Linked DNA regions of Mus musculus. The main gene of each other region encodes a partner of the protein of the gene in region 4 in a complex. Links are inferred from orthologs where the notes say so. Each region holds a gene or a part of one and is shown on either strand. Other genes may lie near its edges.

Region 1 (5,019 bases), on a different chromosome or scaffold from region 4:
CCACAATACACTGTTTAGAACAAGACTGAAAACTCCATGGCCAGGAACTGCATTTTTATGTCTAACATTCTTCACTGACCCTCATAGTGAAAACAAACAAACCCCAACAACGGTAGTGAGGCGAGAAGCAAGTGGGAACGGCTCAGGAGAATAGGCACTGGACTCAAAGAAAAGGAAAAGGAGAAGAGAAAAGCACAGCAACAACGGTAACCAGCACTCGCTCAGCGCTCCACAAGGACCGGGCACTCAAGAGCCTCTTCATACTCAGCATCTCATTTAGGCTTGTTTAACTTTCCCTTGAGGCATCTCTCTTGAGGAAGAAATGATATGCTGAGGATTACTCCGTAGGTTAAAAGGGTACTGAGGGCTGGAGATGGCTCAGCAGTTCAGAGCACTGGTCATTCTTCCAGAGGGCCTGGGTTCCACTCCTATCACAACCTAATGGTTCACCGATCTCAGTAACTCCAGTCTCAGGAGATCCTCTGCTGGCATCAACATACGGCACGGACATACACACAAAAACACCCATACACATTAAAAAATGTAGGGAGAAAAAGAAAGGTGTGGCAATCCAAATGAACCCTACAGGAGGCATTCTACACGTTTTTACTAGATTTTCTTTTTAAAGCCAGCAACAGGCTAAGACGTATCTCAGCTGTTCAGACGTGCCAGGAAACCTAAGGCCCTGAGGCCCAGCTGGGGGTGGGGGTTACAGAATGAGTGCTGGCATACCTGCTGCATGTGCATGTCAGGTCTTAGGAATTCCCAAGCACTAAGGTTTGGGTTTGGATCAGCAGCAATTTACCTTTTTAAAAAGTAATTGTCTTGAGATGTCTTTCAATGTACTTTTTCATAGTCATCCCTACTTCCTTCCAACTCCACCCCAGCCCTAAAAACTCACCTAGTCCAATCTGTGCTGCCCATCCATAGACTCAACAGTGTGAGGCCTCACACTGGGGCTAGTTTCCCTCAAGGACCACATCCATAGAGAACACTGACTGGCTCACCCCTAGAAGCATCAAGGGCCCATCTCGACTCAGCCTAGGCCCTCTCTGCCCTGGGCTAGGATCTTATACAGCTGCTGCTGAGTTCACAAGTGGAATCTAGAAAATACTGTTTCCGCTGGGTGTCCCTGACCTCTGACTCTTATAATCTCTCTTCCTCCCCTTGGTCCCTAAGCTCTGGGAGGAAAAGAGGATGGTGACAGAGCAATTTAACTTATTAAAACACTAGGAATGTGGTAGTATTCCCCAGCCCACAAACTGCTGGTGAAACATTTTTAACTTTTCAAGGAAAGTTCAGGTAAGTTTTAAACGTTCCCCAGCAAGGTGCTATGTTATAGTTCAACCGCAATACAAAAAGAGAGACAGACAGACAGACCCAGCCATCTTGCCTTCACTTAAAGCAGACCTGTGGCTCATACCTGTAAGCCCAACGCCTATGTCCATGTCCTCCTAACAGGAGAATCATGGAGTTGGGACCAAGGCAGTCAGAAACTAGGATTTACACAAAAAGACCCCGGCCCCACAATACAACATCTTCACTATCAAACTAAGTGCCCCAAGTGACAAAGCTTTCTTTTAGGAGGTGAAAGGAAAGCACCATTGACATTCCTACTCAATGAAATTCCAGTGTGTCGTTAAATACATTGAACCGTATCCATGAGACTTCCTGTCTCCGAGACAAATCCCACAGACAGACATGTTAGCAGAAAAATAAAGTTCTCTGACCGTCTGGCTGACTTAGTTACAGGGACGATCCCAAAGTCTAATGTAGAGTTCTGTAAATACGCTGAACAATCGCTCATAAATCCACGGGCTCATAAACCCATGGGCGGCGAGTGCTCACTGCAAGTGTGGAAGGCATTAAGCAAGTTTGGCAACGTACTCGACTGAACTAGAAAGTGGACCAGTTGCACTCTGCGTTTGAGGAAACGGGTGGTAAATCTCCAAGCTTCCTCGTTAACACGAACCTACACAAGCTACGCTGAGACGCGCGATTTTGCTCCGATTACACTGAGATTCTTGTTTCTACCGAAGGGGTGGGGGGAACGGGACGGACTGCATAAGACCAGTCTTGTCTCCCTCAAGGGCCTGAAACCATCACGGTCAATCACGAAAAGAATTGCCTCGAGTCACAGGGAGCTGGATCTGCTACATCCATATCTAATGCCTTCAGAGAAGGTTTGTTTGTTTTTAATAACCACACTTCGTTCAATGGACAGTCTTCATCACACTCCTTCAGCTAGCATCCCAGTAACTTTCTCGGCGTAAGTGTGAAAATGAATATTTTTATAAACACCCTGTCAAGTCGAAGCAACCGAGCCCTTTCCCAAGTTCCAGGTCACCCAAGTGACTGGTGCAAACATGCATCGACCAGGGCCGGCCGACTTGGAGGCCGTTACCTATCCCAGTTCTCGGGGGGGGGGGTGCGAGGGGGTACCCTGAGTAAATGAAGAAACTATACGTCCCTTTCTCAAAAGACAAAAATTTTTTTTAAAAATGTTTCAAGAAAAATTCTTCAAACCAGCCTCGCCTACGTGCCAAGTCGAGTAGGGCGACGGGCGGCGTCCGGCCCGGGAAGAAGGCAGGAGGGTGGAGTTCACTTTTCCCTCCGGCCGGCTCGCCCAGGCCCTCCCCCAACCAGAATCCGGAACCAGGCCCGGGAGGGTGGGAGGCTCGCGCCCCCCAGAAGGCCGGGCGCGCGCTCTACGCCAGCTCGAGGCTTTTCGGGCCTGCGGGGGCCCCCGATGGCGCTGCGCGCGGCACCGGGTCCGGAGCGCCAGGCGCGGCCGTGCACTCACCCGTCTCCCACCACCACACACTTGATGGCCTGCATCTGGGCCGCTCGGTGGGCCGCGGCGGCGGCGGCGGCGGCCGGTGGCTGAGGCGCGAAGCGGCGGGCTCGGGAAGCGCTGGGCGAGGCTGCGGGCGGCGGGGCGCCGAGTGCCGGGACTGCTGTCCACGCCGCCGGGCCCTCAGCGCACGGGAAGGCGAAGCGCAGCAGCAGCCACCACCCAAAGCTGGGGAAAACTGCAGAGAAACAGGAAATGGCCGCTCCACTCACATCCGGCCTCCCCTCCCCCTCGGTGCCGTCGACGCAGCTCCCAGGCTCCGGGCGGGGCCGCTCCCGCCCGCCCGCGCGCCCGCCCGCGCCGTTCCTGGCTTCCACGGGCTTTCGGGAAAGCTCGGCAACAGTCGGCTCCAGCCGGAGAACGGGCTCGGCGGCCGCGGGGCGGGGCGGCCGCCATCTTGGCACGCTAAAGCGTCCCGGTTGTGACCAGGTTTAGGAAGCCCTCTGAATCCTGGGGTTACGGGTTCGGGTCAGTGGTAGGGTCCCGTTCGCTCGCAACCTACTTGTGCCAACTCCATGGAGAGATTCCTGAGCCCCCTTGTTATGTGATAACTACAGTATGCTGTAGCGTAAGATCCTGCTAGAAAATTCTGTATAGCTCGTGCCACAGTGAGATCCAGTCTCAAAAAAGAAACTGCTAGGGATGTAGCCAAGTCAGAATGTTTGCCGGCATGTACAGCCTGGGGCTCCATCCCTAGCACATCACAGCCTGCCCTGGTGGCTCACCTGTAATCCCAGCACTTGGTGGGCGGAAGCAGTAGAATCCTGGGGATCAACCTCAAGTCCAACCTCTGGATATGCAACTCAATTGGTAGAGTGCTTCCCCGAGCAGATACAGATATGAAACCCTAGGATTGAACCTCACGACGGTATGAAACAGATGTGGTATATATCAGGTAGTGCATACCTGGAATCCCAGCTCTGGACTGGAGGTAGCAGAAACATCTGAAGTTTGACCTCTGGCTATGTAGCGTCCAGCGTTAACCTGACCTACCATGAGACTTTCTCAATAGGGGTGGGGGGTGGGGAGGGAGCACTAAATAAACAAAAATATAAGGAAAAAAAAACATACATACCATTAAAATAATAAACAGAAGGATAAAGGTCAGAAGAATTCTTTTAAAGATTGCTGATATGATAGGGTAAGCATATAATTCATTCACAAATAAGGTAGCCTATTAGAAGACAAGAACATTAAAGATATTTTTGGTTATCTGTGGTGTGTGTGTGTGTGCATGTTTTCATGTGTGGGCACATGTGTGGTGCACATGTGTATAGAAGACCAAGGTTGACACTGGGTGTATTCAGTTGCTGTTCACCTTATATATATTGAAGTAAGATCTCTCATTGAACACAAAACTGGCCAATTCCAGTTAATCTAGCCAACCAGCTTGCCCTGGAGATCCCATCTTTATCTTCCGGAGTTACAGGTGAGTCACCGTACCCTCCTAGTATACTAGTTTCTGGATTGGAGCTCTGTTCCTCACACTTGCCTGGCAAGTTCCCTCCTCCTGGAGCTTAAGAGGCCAAGCTGCTCTTCCAGTAGACTGGAGTTAGGTTCCCAGCACCTGAATCACATGGCTTACAGCCACCTGTAATTCCAGCTCCAGAGCGATCCAACACCTTTGGCCCCCTGAGACACCTGCATTCATTCACGTGTGTGCACGTGAGCACAGACACAAAATCTAAAATATTTTTTTAAAGAAAAGAAACCAGACCAGGAATTCCAGCCATCCTAATATCCTAACAGTAAAAAAATAAAACAAACAAACAAAAAATAGAAACAAAACAAAAAATTTAAGGGAAGCATCTGTGGAACTATTCCACGAGAATTTCCCAGACCTGGAGGATAAACCATTTACAGATAGATAATGCCCACAGGGAAGGAAATCTGCCCCACTGCACTGTACAAACTTGTAAAACTTCAGAACCATGTGAACACATAAGACCCTTCTGGCTTCCAAAGAGAAAACAAAGTCTTAAAGAGACAGGAATTTAGAATGGCTTTGGGTTTCTCAGCAGTTCCATTTGAGGGACAACGCCTTCAGGACGACGGCTCAAGAAGTAAAGGTGCTTGCCGTCCAGCGATGCAAGTTTGGTAGCTCGAGTGCCCTCCTTGCAACCCAGGTAAAGGTGGATGGAGAGAACTCTGTCCTCTGAGTCTTT
Region 2 (4,973 bases), on a different chromosome or scaffold from region 4:
CTGTGTAGATGAACTGATGATTTCATAATTCCTGATAATGATTTTATACTCCTAAACTAATACAAGTAATTTCAAGCCCCCTATAGAATAAAAGCTGCAAATAGAGTTTTGTAAACCTTCAGGTTCATGAGCTTATTGCTCTAGGAAAAGAAAACTGGCTTGGAACAAATTTACACTCAGGGAAAACATTCTTGTAGGTTAAGAATGAGGCCACTCTCTGGTAACTAAAGGTCATAAACTGGAGGTGGGCAATTTATTGTAGGTGCAAGGACAGAAAATAAGTGATGAACTAGTTTACCTATACAAGATTAAAATAATAAGACACAAGGCAGATGATTTGTCTCTTGACAAACCCATGCTAACTTGGAACATAAAAACTATTACTTTAAACTTATAATGATCTTGTAGAACCATAAAATAGTGACTATTTATTCAGGTACTAGTCTTAATGGAAAGACATGTAAACAATGTTACTGTAACTCCTGAAGCCTTATCGACCCATGACATGAACCATTTTGCCTTAAACTTACTATGAACTTATGGAATGTAAGAATGCTTTAAAAACCATGTGATCAGCCGGGCGTGGTGGCGCACACCTTTAATCCCAGCACTCGGGAGGCAGAGGCAGGCGGATTTCTGAGTTCGAGGCCAGCCTGGTCTACAAAGTGAGCTCCAGGACAGCCAGGGCTATACAGAGAAACCCTGTCTCGAAAAACCAAAACCAAAAAACAAAACAAAACAAAACAAAACAAAAACCACCATGTGATCAATTATCCTGAGAAGGTATAAAAACTAAAAACTAAGAACAACAATAAAGGGGTGGTATAGCCATTTTCTGCTTCTCTGTGTGTGCCTGACTTTCTCTCTCTCTCTCTCTCTCTCTCTCTCTCTCTCTCTCTCTCTCTCTCTCCCTCTCTCTCTCTTTTCATTTGGTTAAGGATCTCTGGGCCTCTCACCTGGACAGCAAGAGGCCTGAGTCAAAGAATAAAGAGCCCAAATAACTAAGTTTCTTTTCTTAATCCTCTGCTGCTATTAGCAGGAGTTAATTGTCAGCTTTTGCCACCAGCACCCTCCCTCCCCACCCAACTCCCGCCCCCAATACCAAGAGAGAGTTAATTTCCAGAAGCCATCAGCTGTTGGCCCAGAAGAACAAGAGAGGGTTAAAGGCCAGAGATCATCAACCTCTGCTCTGCCTCTCCGTGCTCCATCTCAGTACCTGAATGTGGGGGTGGGACCCCAGCAGTTTTGTGTAGCAGAATTTTCCAGGTCCAATCAATTTGAATGTTAATACAACAAGAAGCCTGTAATTGGACAGGGAAAAGGGAGGCGAAGCTGGGGTTTTTGGAGACAGAGACAGAGGAGAAGGAAGGAAAATGGAGCAAGAGAAAAATGATCTAGATTCTACGTGACTTTAGATAGCCACAGGTAGCCTTTAAAATCATGACTGCTGTTTTATTTGGTTGGCAGACTACCCTAGTCACAATGAATGTGTAAGGTATACTTATTCTTTCAAAGAACCCTCATATTAAGCATGCAAGAGACTGGGGTCATTTTCAGCTCTGTATACTTCAAACAATGCCAGCATCTTCCTAGGGATACTTAGTAAAACTCTCATGATTGGCTGAATGGGTAATTAACCAAATAAACAATTGAGACCCTAAATGTGGATTCTCATCATACGTTTTTCTGAAGACTTTACTGTTATCCATCCTCCCAGCCTACCCCACCCCACCCCACCGGTACTGAAGATCAAACCCAGAGCCTCTCACATGTTGTGCAAGTACTTTACCGTTGACCTCCAACTCCAGCCCCTTCCCCGGCTTTTAAAAAATGATTTTGAGACAGGATCTCACTAGGTTTCCAAGACTGTCCTTGAACTTGCTTTGCAGCCTAGGTCTGGCTTGAATTCGCCACAACCTAAGTAGCTAGAATTCCAGGCCTGTGCAACCAGAGCCCACCTGCCTGTCCTCAGAGAATCAGTTTTGTCTCACACCCGACATGAAACCCTCCCTGACCCCGAGAAGGCCACAGAGATTGATTTCCCTTCCTCTGCATTTCTCTTCATTCTCTATCCCAGCACCTGAACACAGGGGCTCTGCTGTAAGTGCTAGAGGCAGGGAGCGCCCTTCTGCTTTCCTTGTTTCCCACAGAACCTAGCACCTAACATTCTGAGTAAATATGGCAGATCTAAGACATTTTAATAAAATGGTGTCACGCCCCACACATCTTAGCTCTCTTTGGGGCTACAGTCATCCTTTTCAGTTCTGCATTCTTTCAGAATGCTGAACCCCCACACGCTATCCCATCGCAGTGCTGGGGGGCTCTTTCAGATAACGTTATGTGGTTTCTTTCATGATTGCGCTGGGATCGCATATGCAGTTTCTTCGGCTTGCTTCCTCAGGCAAGGACTCTCGCACCGAGGACATCTAAGGCTAAAGACTACTGGAGACCAAGTGGTTTCTGATATCACAGGAGGAGAAGCTGTGAAGTAGTCAATTTTCTTGCTGTGGTAAAACACTCCGACAGAAACATCGTAATGAAGGCAGGGTTGATTTGGGCTCACTAGTCTCCAGGGTACAGTCCATGATGGTGGATAAATCATGGTGTCAGACCCTGAAGCAGCTGGTCACAAGGCACCCACTGTCAGGATGCAGGGGACCAACTCATACTCACGTAGCCTTCTTCTCTTTATGCAGGGAGGACCCAAGTCCTGGTCACTTTTCATAGCAGATGCTCTACCTCAGTTAACCTAAGGCAGACGATCCCTCAGAGGTGTGACCTGAGGCTCATCTAGATCCTGTCAAGCTCGAAACACAAAGCTTCACACCGACCTTGTCATCACAGGAAAAGGAAGAGTGTGACGAGTTAGAAACACACTCTGAATGGGAAAAAAAAAAAAGAAAAAGAAAGAAAAGAAATAAGAAAGGAAAAGGAACATGACTGTTCCCAGATATGGTGGAGGAGAGAGTTTATTATAGCTGTGTGGGAGAGAGAGCACAGCCAGAGTCAGGGACCTCCGGGAGAGTGCTGAATAGACAGGAACAGGCTGAGCTGTGCTATGTGGGGAGAGGGAAGGGGAGGAAGAAGGGAGTGGGAGGAGCCAGGCACAGCAGCCAGGAGGCCCAAAGGCACAAAGACAGCAGGTTACAGAAATGATTGGATTATGTAGGGAAGAGCAGACCTCAAGGCCCAAGAGTTCAGGATAGGAGGCAGGGTATGCCTGATAGGAGGCTCTGTGACACGTAGAGGGTGGAGGATTACAGAGAGAAGCTGGTGGCCAGCTCTGCTTTGATATGCTATAGCCACCTAAGCCATTTGTCCCAAGTTCGAAACCCAACCATTTCCACATTTAGTAAGATGGAAATCTCTAAGATTCTCTGTTGATTCCTCTGTTGTAGCAGCTGAAAGCATGTGGTCATTCTGCATGTGTCTGCCAACGTATGACAGTAAGTGAAGCATCCATGCTCCCTCCTCTTTTCTGGGATCTGTTGTCTGAACCACAGCAAAAGCACGGCCCACATTTGGACCGAAACACTCCCAGCCGGTTGGAATACAATGGACACACAGCAAGGCCTGTGAAGTTCTAGCTCTCAAGAATCAGAATTTAAGCCTGGCAGTAGTTGTGCATGCCTTTAATCCCAGCACTTGGGAGGCAGAGGCAGGTGGATTTCTGAGTTCGAGACCAGCCTGGTCTACGGAGTGTTCTAGGACAGCCAGAAACCCTGTCTTGGGGGGTGGGGGGGAGAATCAGAATTTAGGGTCAGGAGAGGGAGCGGTAGGTTCTGCCATGCTCTGCCCTCCAGAGCAGGGGTCAGGGGAGGTGGCAGAGAGGAGACTGAGAAGCACCCGAGCTCAGTTTTTCCCAGGGCTCTTCTGAGTTCCAGCCAAAGTCTAAGCCCTTACAATTTAGTGTGCCATCAAGCTTGCCTTTTGTTTTGGATTTTCAATACAGGGTTTCTCTTTGTAGGCCTGTCTGTCTTGGAACTTGATCAGTAGGCCAGACTGGCCATCTGAGAGACCAAACCTACCCCATCTTGGGACTGTACCCACGTACCAGGAAGGACCACACGGCTTGTCCTTGGCCAGAGGACACTTCCTGGCTACTTCCTATCAATAGTTAATCAAAGATTAGTCTGACTGTTTCAGATGTACCTTCAGGCTATTTGTATACGGCCTTATTTCAGAGCACCCACCTCTCAGCTTATAGCCATTCTATTAGATGCTTGCCAGACTGGACACCCTCTCCCTCACCCCCTCCCTTGCTCCTATTTTTCTATAAAAACTTGTCCTGCTGAGGGTTCGAGGCCGCTCCACCTTCCCTTTCTGTCCTTGCTGTGTCAGGATTGGGATGGAGGAGAGCCCAAGCCTGCGCTTGTAATAAAGAGACCCTAATGCTATTACATCGCAAAGGGCTGCTTGGTGATCTTTTGGAGTTCGTGGTTCCTGGAACAACACATCTAACTGAGAGATCTGCCTCCTGACTTCTGAGATTAATGGCATGTGCCACCCAGCAAATAAGTAACCATTTCTTTCTTTTTCCTCCTCAGGACAGGGTTTTTCTGTGTAGCCCTGGGTATCCTGGAACTCATTCTGTAGATCAGGCTGGCCTCAAATGTTTATCCTCCCGAGGGAAAAAATAGGACCACTACCACAATTTTGAGTCAAATTTAAAGCAAACGTTTTAAATACTGGCCAGGATGATAGACTCTGACCAGGCTATTCCTGAACGCCATAAGGCCATTGTGTTTTGATCAGATCCAATCAGGGGTGAGCAACCATCCTGACCCATTTCCTGTCTCCGTACCTCCTGCCCACATGTCATCTAGCACATTCGTGTAGTTGGCTCAACTGAACCTGTTTGGGGAAGTGAAAACACGTGACTTGCTTCTTCCATAAACAATAGCCTCCGTCATTTCAGGAAGTATCTGTCCTTGGCCAGGGTTTACAGGCCCGAGGCACTTTTTTTTTTTTTT
Region 3 (5,244 bases), on a different chromosome or scaffold from region 4:
GCTAGATATAGTGACACACACCTTTAATCCCAGCACCTAAGAGGCAGAGGCAGGAGGACTCTGAGTTGGAGGCCTGCCTGGTCTACATAGTGAGTTCTAGTGTAACAGGGCCCCAGGCCTTAGCACAACTGACTCACGATGGAGGTACCATTCAAGCTGTAATCTCGGCACACAGCACAGTCATGGCTAACATTATGTTCATGGCTAACGCTAATGTTATGTTTACAGTTTAAAATCTCTGGGCTTTTTGAGAACTGCAAAGCAAAATTAGACTTCCAAATGTTAAGGGCTGTTAAAGGTTACTTTTTAAATTTCTGTTTCTGCTTCGGTAAATAAAGCTTGTTTTGCATAAGAGGACCTTCTGCTTGTACTAGCACAGAATGTAACTTGTGGTTTTTGCCTTTATAAACCCCTGACTGAGGTGACTGGGGACTGCATTCAGGAATTCCGAGTCCTGGGTGTAGACCTGGTGCCAGTCTATAAATAAAAGCCTCTTCTTAAACTGGGCAGTTCCCAGCACTCAAGAGACAGAGGCAGGTAGATCTCTGTGTATTTGAAGCTAGCCTGGTCTACAGAGTGAGTTCCAGGACAGCCAGGTTTTGAAAAAAAAAAAAAAAAAAAGGAGAGGGAGAGATAAAGAGAAAGAGAAAAAAAGAAAAAAAAAGAGAATAAATCCAGCTTTAAACTGAGTATAGCAGCGTGTGCTTTTAATTCTAGCACTCGCAAGACAGATTGGGCCAGATCCCAGAGTTCCAGGCCAACCAGAAATACATGCACACACTCACACACGCACATCATACAGACAAGCAAAAACAACAAAAAACAGGGATCGAGAGTTGGCTCAATAGTAAAGAGTACTAGCTACTTTCCCAGAGGTCCTGAGGTTCAATTCCCAGCAACCACATGGTGGCTCACAACCATTTGCAATGGGATCTGATGCCCTCTTCTGGTGTGTCTGAAGACAGCTACAGTGTATTCCTATACATAAAATAAATAAGTAAATATTAGAGAGAGACTGCCTCATCCAGTTTTCTCAGTATATACTGTAACTATAAATTGACAAAACTTCAAGGGTCATGCTGTGTACTTTTATAAAGTCATTATAAAATTAGGAATCCCATAACAAGTAGATCTAAAGAGAACGGTAAAGTAATGGAAATCTCTGCTCCAGCATGCCGTCCTAGCACCCACAGATCATCGTAGGTATGTTGGAGGCAAACTACAAAATAGGAACATGTGATCCAGGTTTTACGTCACTAGTTATTGTGTGTTAGGTCTGAAAGAAACCGGGGACAAATGGCTAACTGAGGTGCCTATTGACCATCAAAGTAGATGATGGCCATGCTCTCAGCAAGTACCTGTTACAGAGTCCTGACTCCTCAGCTCTTGCCCACTACCCTAGACCTCTCTAACCCTGCCCAAGCCCCTGCCTTCCCTTCCCTTCCCTCCCCTCAACTCCCCTCCCCTTCCCTTCCCTTCCCTCCAACTTCTCTTTGCCTATAAAACCCAGACATCGTGACTACGTGCTGACATCTGACATCGTGACTACGTGCTGTCTGCCCTCTTGGTCTTTTGTCTCCATCTCGCCTCTCTTCATCTCTTACTCTGCCCCTCTCTCTTTCCTCTCATGGCTCTATTCTGCTGGACATGTTCAACCAGACGCTTCCATATGTGCTTTCCCTCACATTTACAATAAGAAACTCGTCAACAATACCTAGGAGTGGCCATGTCCCCACTTTCATTTATTGTGCATCTTTTGTTAGATTGACCTCGGGTAGTCAGATCATGTTTGCTATACCTTAGGCATCTGGTGAATATGACCTCTTATCATTTCCTGAAAATTACAGATCTAGCCAGGAGGCGGTGGCACACACCTTTAATCCCAGCATTCGGGAGGCAGAAGCATGAAGATCCCTCTGAGTTCCAGGCCAGCCAGAGCTACACAGAGAAACCTTGTCTGGAAAACCCAAAAAACCCCCCAAAAACAAACAAACAAAAAAACCCAATCCAGATCCACTCACTCCCCAGGCTTCTAAACCACGCCCATATCCTGCTTAACTAGGAAACCTCCTTGAGTGACATCTTTCTTGGTTGGCCAAGGGGCTAAATTCAGGTGCCCTACCTGTCCCTGTCCCCAGGAGTGTGAAGCACAAAGGCACAACCCCCGACTGCGTAATCACTCAGTCTCCACCCCTGGGAGGTTCCCACCCAGCTCTTATCCCGGAAGTCTGCGGAACAGAAGTCCGGAAGTTCGAGGGGCTGTTCTCTCCCACTCATTCTCCTACAAGTCCCTCGTTGTCCGCATAGGTGCGTGTCCTACAACTTTTCGGGTTCCGACCCGCCGAGCCCTGTGCGGGTCATCGCTTGCGGATCTGGACCAGGCGCAAGGCAAATTGAGGAAGCCGGGCGTGTGCACTCCGGAGGAGGAGCCAGCGTAACGGGCCGCTAGTGGAGCTTGTTGGTAACTGAAGCCAGAGGGAGGCAAGTTATGTGCCTAACTAGGATTCTTGAGGATGTAGGGTATGAAGCTTGATTGCCCCTGGGAATCCAAGGAGCCACTCAGAACTGGGGCCTTGGGTGTTAATCTCCAGACGTCCTGCCGCAGTGTCCCATTAATTCGGCGCATTTGGGCCATTGTTAGGTAGTCTGGCGTCAATAACAGGGATCTGACAGCTTATGAATGTAGAGACTCATACACGATGGTACTTTCACTTCCCGTTCTTGGTGGGAAGAGTTGTTTCTGGAAGATTCGGGTAAGGTGCCGGAAGCCTGAGTTGTGTGTGTGTGTGTCGGGGCGGGGGAGGGGGAGGGGGCTTACTAATGGAACAACTTAAAGATAAGAGTTCAGTCAAGAAAAGGGTTCACAAGACTGGGGGCTTGGAAGTGAGTTCAGACCAACACCAAATTTGTGAGCTGTGTAGCCCCGATGCCCATACATAATTGTGAGTTAAGTGGGCTCATAAGAGAAAGGTGTTCGGGGTCTGCTGTGGACCTTCCCCTGGCCTCCTGACTGGACTAATGAGGTGCTGCCTATGTGCACTGGTTGCAGGCTTCAGTTGTGTTTTTCCAAGCCTGGTCGGCTGTGCAGTAGAGCCCAGGTTCCAAGAATGTATATGCAGGTGGAGACACGCACCAGCACCCGCCTCCATCTGAAGAGGGCTCCAGGCATCCGGTCTTGGTCCCTGCTGGTCGGTAAGGCTTCCCACCCCCCACCCCACCCCCAATCTAAAAAGCGACGTAAACAGCTTCTTTGTGTTCTATTAGAGGTTCTCAATACAAGGCCTTGATAAAGCATGTTTCATTAACCCTCAGGGTGCCTTTTCTTTCAGATGGCATGCAGGACCGACCCCCTTGCATGCTAGGCACACTCTAACACTGAGATACCCTCCCTGCCTTGCAAGCTGGGCACACTTCTTTAACACTGAGATGCCCTCCCAGCCTATCTGCTTTTTATGAGGTCACTATAGTTTTCCTTCTGTGTGACAGGTGATCATGGGTTCCCATCTTTCCTCTTCCCTGGCTCAGACCTCTTCATAAGCGCACTTAGCCTCTTCCTCCATCGCTGCCTGTCAGAAGGCTCTTGTATCTCAGGGACAGGTGCACTTGTGTTGGCTGGGCTGTACAGTCTGAGGTGAGGCACTAGCTGTGGCTTCAGCAGCATCTCTGCAGTCTGTCCTTATGATATACACATGCTTTTCTGCATGTTATGCTCGGGTGTTGTTATAATTCTGTAAGTAGTCTTCATCCCTCATCCCATGTAAGCAATACCTACCTCAGGGTCATTTGTGCGTTTGTCATTTGTTTGCAGACAAGTCTGGTGAATGCCATGATGGGATATCTTGCTTTTTATTTAATTTTATTTTTAAACTATGTGTGTATCTATATGGGGGTTCTATGCAGGTACGTATAGGTGCCTGTGGAATCCAGAAGAGCATTAGCTCTCTTGGAGCTGAAGTTGCATGAGGTTGCGATGGCCTGACATGGGTGCTGGTGCTGAGTACTGAACTGGGTCCTCTGCAAAAGTAGTATATACTCTTAATCAGTAAGCCCTCTTTTCCAGTCCCCTTCTCCTCCGTTTTGAAACAAACATCTTAGCTGGCTCACCAACTCTGTACTAGGTAGCCTCTACCTGTTGCCCCTGAACAAGCTGTGCTACCATGAGACAGCTATAGCACTGTGAAGAAATGGGTCTTCCCTTGGCTAGTTAACAAGGTACTCTCTCCCTCTCTCTACAGGAATATTATCCACTGGCCTGGCTGCTGCCTATTACAGTGGAGGTAAAGTATGTTCTCCCCTTCAGCTTCCTTGCACTTGGAAATGAACAAAAAGCAGTCTTGGTGTGTGTGGCTTTGGGGTGGCCTTGTGTGGGAGATGATCCCAGGCCATGTCTTGTATCTTAAATCTCTTACTGTGTTACAAAGTCCTCTTGTAAAGCTCTTTAGCATTTGCCTGTCACCTTGCAGGGAGGATGTGTCCCATCTCCATGGCAAGGCTGTATCGATCTACCCATCCTCTAGGTGGAATTAGGCAGAGTTTGGGGCTTAAGTAGCTCCGGTGACAGAAGCACATTACCTAAGCCTCTAATCTGAGCCAAAAGAAAGGTTGGGCTGGGAAGGACCACCTATGGACATCACCTTGGCTCCTGAGCTAATGAGCTGATATACTGTCTGCTTGCAGATAGTCTGGGCTGGAAGCTCTTCTATGTCACAGGCTGCCTATTTGTGGCTGTACAGAACTTGGAAGACTGGGAGGTAAGATGGAACAGTAGGACCCTTCCCGTTCAGAAGCACCTGCCCCAGCTCAGAGGCATTCAGTTACCTGGACTCAGCCCTTCCCTTGATTTTGCTTGTAAACATCTCTGGACTTTTCTAGAAAAGCTACTCACAACAGTTTTCACTAAGGTTCTATGTAGTGTGTTTTGTTATGTTGCAGGCTTGCCTCAAACTCAAAAGAAAGCCAATTGCCTCAACCTTCTGATGGGCATAAAACACCCCACTTGGCGCACAGTAGCGCCCCCCCCCCCCCCGGGTTGTTACAACAAGTCTGTATGTCCCTTGGCTGGGCTGGTTCCACAGGGCAGGGACCTGTGAGAACATTTTGAAGTTCAGGGGTTTGGGGCTTCCTCTGACCACCCAGGTCCTCACTGTACACCTAACAATGGCAGACAGGAATCTGAGCCTGGGGAAAGTCAGGTGGTACCTTTTGGGGATGCCCCCTTCCCTTAGTCTTGGACTTCTCAGAATT
Region 4 (4,533 bases):
CTTGGGTTTCATTTTCTGGGGATGTTAACTCCATTTGAGTTTGCCAGCCGTCTCTATACTCAGTCGAGCCTGCTCCTTGTGAGTAAATTGAACATTTTTGTCCCTTGTGGAAAAAAGTAGGAATAGAGTGGCCTCAACTGAACAGGAAATTTACTACCCTCGCTGCTGCCCAACTCATGTTGACTGAAACTTTCTTTTCTCTCTCCAAAGCACCACAATAGGCGTTTTCCTGTGTGGCCCTGAAGCCTTGGCTGAAACTCTCAGTAAACAGAGCATCTCCAACTCAGAATCCGGCCCGCGTGGAGTCCACTTCATTTTCAACAAGGAAAACTTCTAACTCCGCTCTTTCACCAGGAAACCAGTGTATGCTGCCAAATGTCCCAGTAATGCTGGTTGGTTGTAGGAGAGAAGGAGGAAAGGAAATCACAATGACACAGGCCCCCTAAAAGGAATTCCAAAGATCCTTACTAGTCATCTGTCATATTGCATGGAACTTCATGGTTTCAGAGCACTTTTTACATACATAGTTATGCATTGTTTCACATTTCCCTTTGACATGCCAGAAGAGGGTAAGGCAAAAGCATTTTCTGGGACTCTCTCTAGGATAAACAATAGGATCTCAAATGAGTTCCACACCTTCCTTCCAATTCAGAAGTTGAAACCACACCTAAGCCATCTGACTCTGGGTGTGGTCACCTTTTCACCTTTAATACCAGGTTGTCTCAAGCCTCAGTTTTTATACTATCCACCAACAAAAAAGCAAGTCAAAGAAGAGCTCATCATTCTTAGCTGTTGTTTTCTCTTTAACCTTAGCATCATGCTAAAGGAAACTTTTTAAATAGAGGAGATAGTGATGCTGATGGTGACTTAATACTTCCTAAATGACAGTATCGGCACAGAAGTATATTCCAGTTTTATCAGCACAACAGTTTAACTGGGTCAGAGATTATTCCTAGTAAGAAATATTAGACTGATTGGAGTTAAAGTAGCACTCTACATTTACCATGGTGTTTGGCAGAATTGGTGTTCAAGGTCAGTTTATTGAATGAATGAATGAATGATTGAACAAATAGATGCAAACATTCAGAACTATATCATAATGGAATGTATGGCCAGAGACAGAATTACCCTTCTGTTTCTTTTACACACCAAAGTATCCTGATTCCCCTGGGAGTAGAGAGAAAGATATGAACCAATAGGGAGAGTCAGGCCATTCTACTGGTATTCATCCAACTGTCATTTGAAGGGAGGAGGCATGAATTCAGAGACCTATTCTCCTATGATGATGGTGGCTAACACTTCTAGTTCCAGTCTGTAAGCTGAAAAAGAAGAACACATTTATTTACTGACAGAAATGATCTGCTCCAGCCAAACTTTGAACTGAATTCTAAGAAATGTATACATGATAATACATATCCTGCTTAGAATCCATTTCTTCTTTGGCTTAAATACCTATACAAATAGATCTTATGTGCATAGACAATAACTTGTTTTTTTTTTTTTAATTGCAGCATTTTCATCACCACTAGTACCAGCATCACCATCTTCCTAAAATATAAATTTTAGAAACTGTAATCCCCAAATAACTGGGTTAAGAGTAAAATCACATCCGATATTTTATGGGCATCCAGAAATGCAAGACAGAGTCTAGATGACTGCTAGACTAGTCACATGTGAAAAAAAAAAAAAAAAAGAGAAAACTACTCCTCTTTCTGGGAACTAAAAGCATTTCTGACTGCCCCCCCCCCCCCAGGAATACAAAGACTTATAACTATTCAGCTTTGGTAATGAGGAAGGAAGAGTAGAGAGCAGAGGCCTTGATGGAGAGAAAGTGGTGAAGCCAACAGGAGAGAAAGGAAAGCACCACACTCACAAGGGAAGTGTCAGAGGCAAAGGGTCTCATGGTGGTTAGGATTCGGCCTCCATTGCTACTTGATATGTATCACATGTAACTAAAGGACGCATGCGCTCATCTTGTTTTGACTTCATATTGCATTGCATAGTTTTAGTTCTGATCACAAATTTTGCTATTGTATGAAGATTTTGAAGGGACTAGACGAAGGGAGAGCTCAGATTCTCCTTATGTTCCTGCTATGCTCTTGTTCGCTTAGCATCCTTAGAGCACTCAAGGCTGGTTCTGGTAAATAAGGCCTTCCTAGATGTGCACATGGTACCAGGAGAATTGTTGCCCTGGGACAAAGGTCCAGACAGACCTTCGTGTTGCACCCTAGGCATTAGGTCATTCATTCAACATACATTTGTTTGGTATAATTAATGAGTCAATTTTAACTATTTGTGGCAAAGTTTGATCTCAGTTACAAGGACTCTGAAAACACCGTGTTCTAACAAAAGTGGTAATGAGTCTGTTTGTTGCTACAAGAATCCTTCTCCAGTTTTCTGGGGTTTTCCTTGTCTTTATTTTTCTTGCAGACAATAGATCCAGACTGCAGACTGGCCCCTCTCCCTCTCCCAGCCCTGCCTCCACACCTCCTCTTCCCCAGATCCATTGTTCCTCTGTTTCCCTTCAAAAAAAAAAAAAAGAGCAGACCTCCCAGAGAACACAGCATAACAAGATGCAATAAGACTAGGCACAAACCCTCATATCAAGGCTGGATGAGGCAACCCAGGAGGAGAAAAAGAATCCCATAAGCAGGCTAGGGTTGATATCAACATAGTTCCCAAAATAGAGATCTATCCTGAGTTATTCTGGTTATGAGATGGAAAATGAGTGCACATGTGCTTGTTGTTTGAGAACTTCCTTCTTTTTGCTCCCAAGCCCCCAGCTCACAGCCACCAGCTGCCAGCTGCCAGCACAGCTCTTTCTGTACTTAGTTCTTAGAATTTAGTAACAGATACTGAGATCTGTCATTAGCAACAAATCTAAAATGAGAAAATAAGGCTAGAAATGATTTTTCTTATTTTTTCCCCGCTTTTGCAATATCATGTTTATGGAATTTGAATACTTGCAGCCATTGTATATGAACAGTCTGGTGAGTGGGAGAAGATGATCTAGAGATAACTTTTAGAAATAACTATTAAAGCTTGCTTTGATGCTGAAATCAGTGAGCTTTCCCTGTGTCTTTGTTATTGAACTTGTCATTAAAGAGTGAATCCAACTAGCAAAGATACTGTATTTTATCAAGAAGGTTGTTCTAAATATGTCAATCAGTTACAACCCTCCCTGTCTAGGTAATGCATGGAGACATGAGCTCATGTTTTGGACTGAATTGGCTGTTGTTATCACGGATGTAAAGCACATCACCGAAGGCAAATGCTAATAAACAGAAATAGCAAACATTTAATGAATGCCTACTACTTTGCCAAACATTTTACATACACCTCAGCTACTCCCTCAACAACAGCACAATGACATTTTAGTCCTAAGCTTGTTGATAAGAAAACTATCCAAGGAAAGATGATTGATAAGCAAAGGTTCCATAGTTGATGGATGGATATGTCAACATTAAATCTCCATTTTCTAGCAATCAGGCCTATGTTCTTTCCGCTAGCAGATTGAATAAGGTTCATGGAACCAAAATATGCATTGAGAATGGTTGGGTAAGGGTGGCAATAGAGATCAAGTATCTTGGTATGTCACTTTTAAATTCAAATAAAATAGGATGCTGGAGGGAGAAATACATTATAAAAAGGGAAGAGTCGGGTGTTCTGGTGCATGCATGCAATAAAGCACTCAAGAGGCTGAATGAGAATTATAAATTCAAGGCTAAGGTGCTCTGCATACCCAGACTCTGTTTTAACCTCACCCCCCACAAAGAAAAGGTTACTTTTCTTGAAAAAAAAAAAAGATCACAGCTCAATTTAAATGCTCTTTTTATATATTTTTATTTTATTTATAAACATTTATGTCTTTCAGAGAATAACAGCCATTATTTGAAGTGTGTGTGTGTGTGTGTGTGTGTGTTTGTGTGTGTGTGCGCACGTGCGCACGTGCATGTACACGTGCATGTGTGCATGTGTGCATGTGTGATACATTTTCATGAAGAAGAAGTGAAATTATAAAATGACAAGATTTCTCAATGTTAAGTGCTGTTCTGCAGAACAAAAAATATGCTGACGTTTCCTGGGCAATCTGACCACTGGAAATTTCTAAAATGTGGAACATGACCAACCAGTCAAGCATGGCTTGAGATGGTTTCAATGCTATAGTCATGGATTGTGTTGGTAAATGAGGACATAGTCTGCACAATTCCTGGCAATATATTCGCAACAACCAAGAAAACTGAATATCTCAAATTAAGTACTAAAAAGAAGTCAATCCCCGTCGAGACTCGAGCCCCGGGCTACCTTGCCAGCAGAGTCTTGCCCAACACCCGCAAGGGTCCACACAGGACTCCCCACGGGACCCTAAGACCTCTGGTGAGTGGATCACAGTGCCTGCCCCAATCCAATCGCGCGGAACTCGAGACTGCGGTACATAGGGAAGCAGGCTACCCGGGCCTGATCTGGGGCACAAGTCCCTTCCGCTCGACTCGAGACTCGAGCCCCGGGCTACCTTGCCAGCAGAGTCTTGCC

What was found. Proteins that work in one complex are often made in the same cells at the same time.
Region 1: Cybb (region 4) and Rac1 share a complex: the UniProt entries of both Homo sapiens proteins name them as parts of the phagocyte NADPH oxidase complex. The link is inferred for Mus musculus from reciprocal best matches to the Homo sapiens genes CYBB and RAC1.
Region 2: Cybb (region 4) and Ncf2 share a complex: the UniProt entries of both Homo sapiens proteins name them as parts of the phagocyte NADPH oxidase complex. The link is inferred for Mus musculus from reciprocal best matches to the Homo sapiens genes CYBB and NCF2.
Region 3: the proteins of Cybb (region 4) and Cybc1 are in contact, whole or in part, in a cryo-EM structure (PDB 8KEI), measured with the Homo sapiens proteins. The link is inferred for Mus musculus from reciprocal best matches to the Homo sapiens genes CYBB and CYBC1. Residues at the interface, in NP_000388.2 of Homo sapiens: Trp28, Asn74, Leu75, Leu76, Ser77, Phe78, Leu79, Arg80, Gly81, Ser82, Ser83, Ala84, Cys85, Cys86, Trp206, His210, Phe212, Pro266, Met268, Trp270, Lys271, Ile273, Tyr280, Tyr324, Phe326, Lys328, Leu335, Glu336, Trp337, His338; in NP_001028218.1 of Homo sapiens: Arg22, Leu26, Ala37, Ser41, Gly42, Asp43, Trp47, Phe50, Tyr51, Phe57, Gln61, Asn62, Glu64, Lys77, His97, Asp98, Gln99, Val100, Val101, Val102, Leu103, Arg108, Ser111, Glu115, Val117, Arg118, Tyr119, Phe120, Arg129, Ala131.

The regions. Positions count from the first base shown.
Region 1 is NC_000071.6:143,524,960-143,529,978, forward strand, and holds the start of Rac1 (ras-related C3 botulinum toxin substrate 1), read right to left. Parts: upstream 3,035-5,019; 5' UTR 2,839-3,034; coding exon 2,804-2,838; intron 1-2,803. UniProt on the Homo sapiens protein: Plasma membrane-associated small GTPase which cycles between active GTP-bound and inactive GDP-bound states.
Region 2 is NC_000067.6:152,798,214-152,803,186, reverse strand, and holds the start of Ncf2 (neutrophil cytosol factor 2), read right to left. Parts: upstream 3,035-4,973; 5' UTR 2,674-3,034; intron 1-2,673. UniProt on the Homo sapiens protein: Subunit of the phagocyte NADPH oxidase complex that mediates the transfer of electrons from cytosolic NADPH to O2 to produce the superoxide anion (O2(-)).
Region 3 is NC_000077.6:121,226,276-121,231,519, reverse strand, and holds the start of Cybc1 (cytochrome b-245 chaperone 1), read left to right. Parts: upstream 1-2,210; 5' UTR 2,211-2,481; intron 2,482-2,579; exon of another isoform or gene 2,580-2,676; coding exon of another isoform or gene 2,677-2,753; intron 2,754-3,049; coding exon of another isoform or gene 3,050-3,107; coding exon 3,108-3,192; intron 3,193-4,235; coding exon 4,236-4,277; intron 4,278-4,677; coding exon 4,678-4,751; intron 4,752-5,244. UniProt on the Homo sapiens protein: Functions as a chaperone necessary for a stable expression of the CYBA and CYBB subunits of the cytochrome b-245 heterodimer. Controls the phagocyte respiratory burst and is essential for innate immunity.
Region 4 is NC_000086.7:9,434,021-9,438,553, reverse strand, and holds the end of Cybb (cytochrome b-245 heavy chain), read left to right. Parts: intron 1-210; coding exon 211-337; 3' UTR 338-3,300; downstream 3,301-4,533. UniProt on the Homo sapiens protein: Catalytic subunit of the phagocyte NADPH oxidase complex that mediates the transfer of electrons from cytosolic NADPH to O2 to produce the superoxide anion (O2(-)).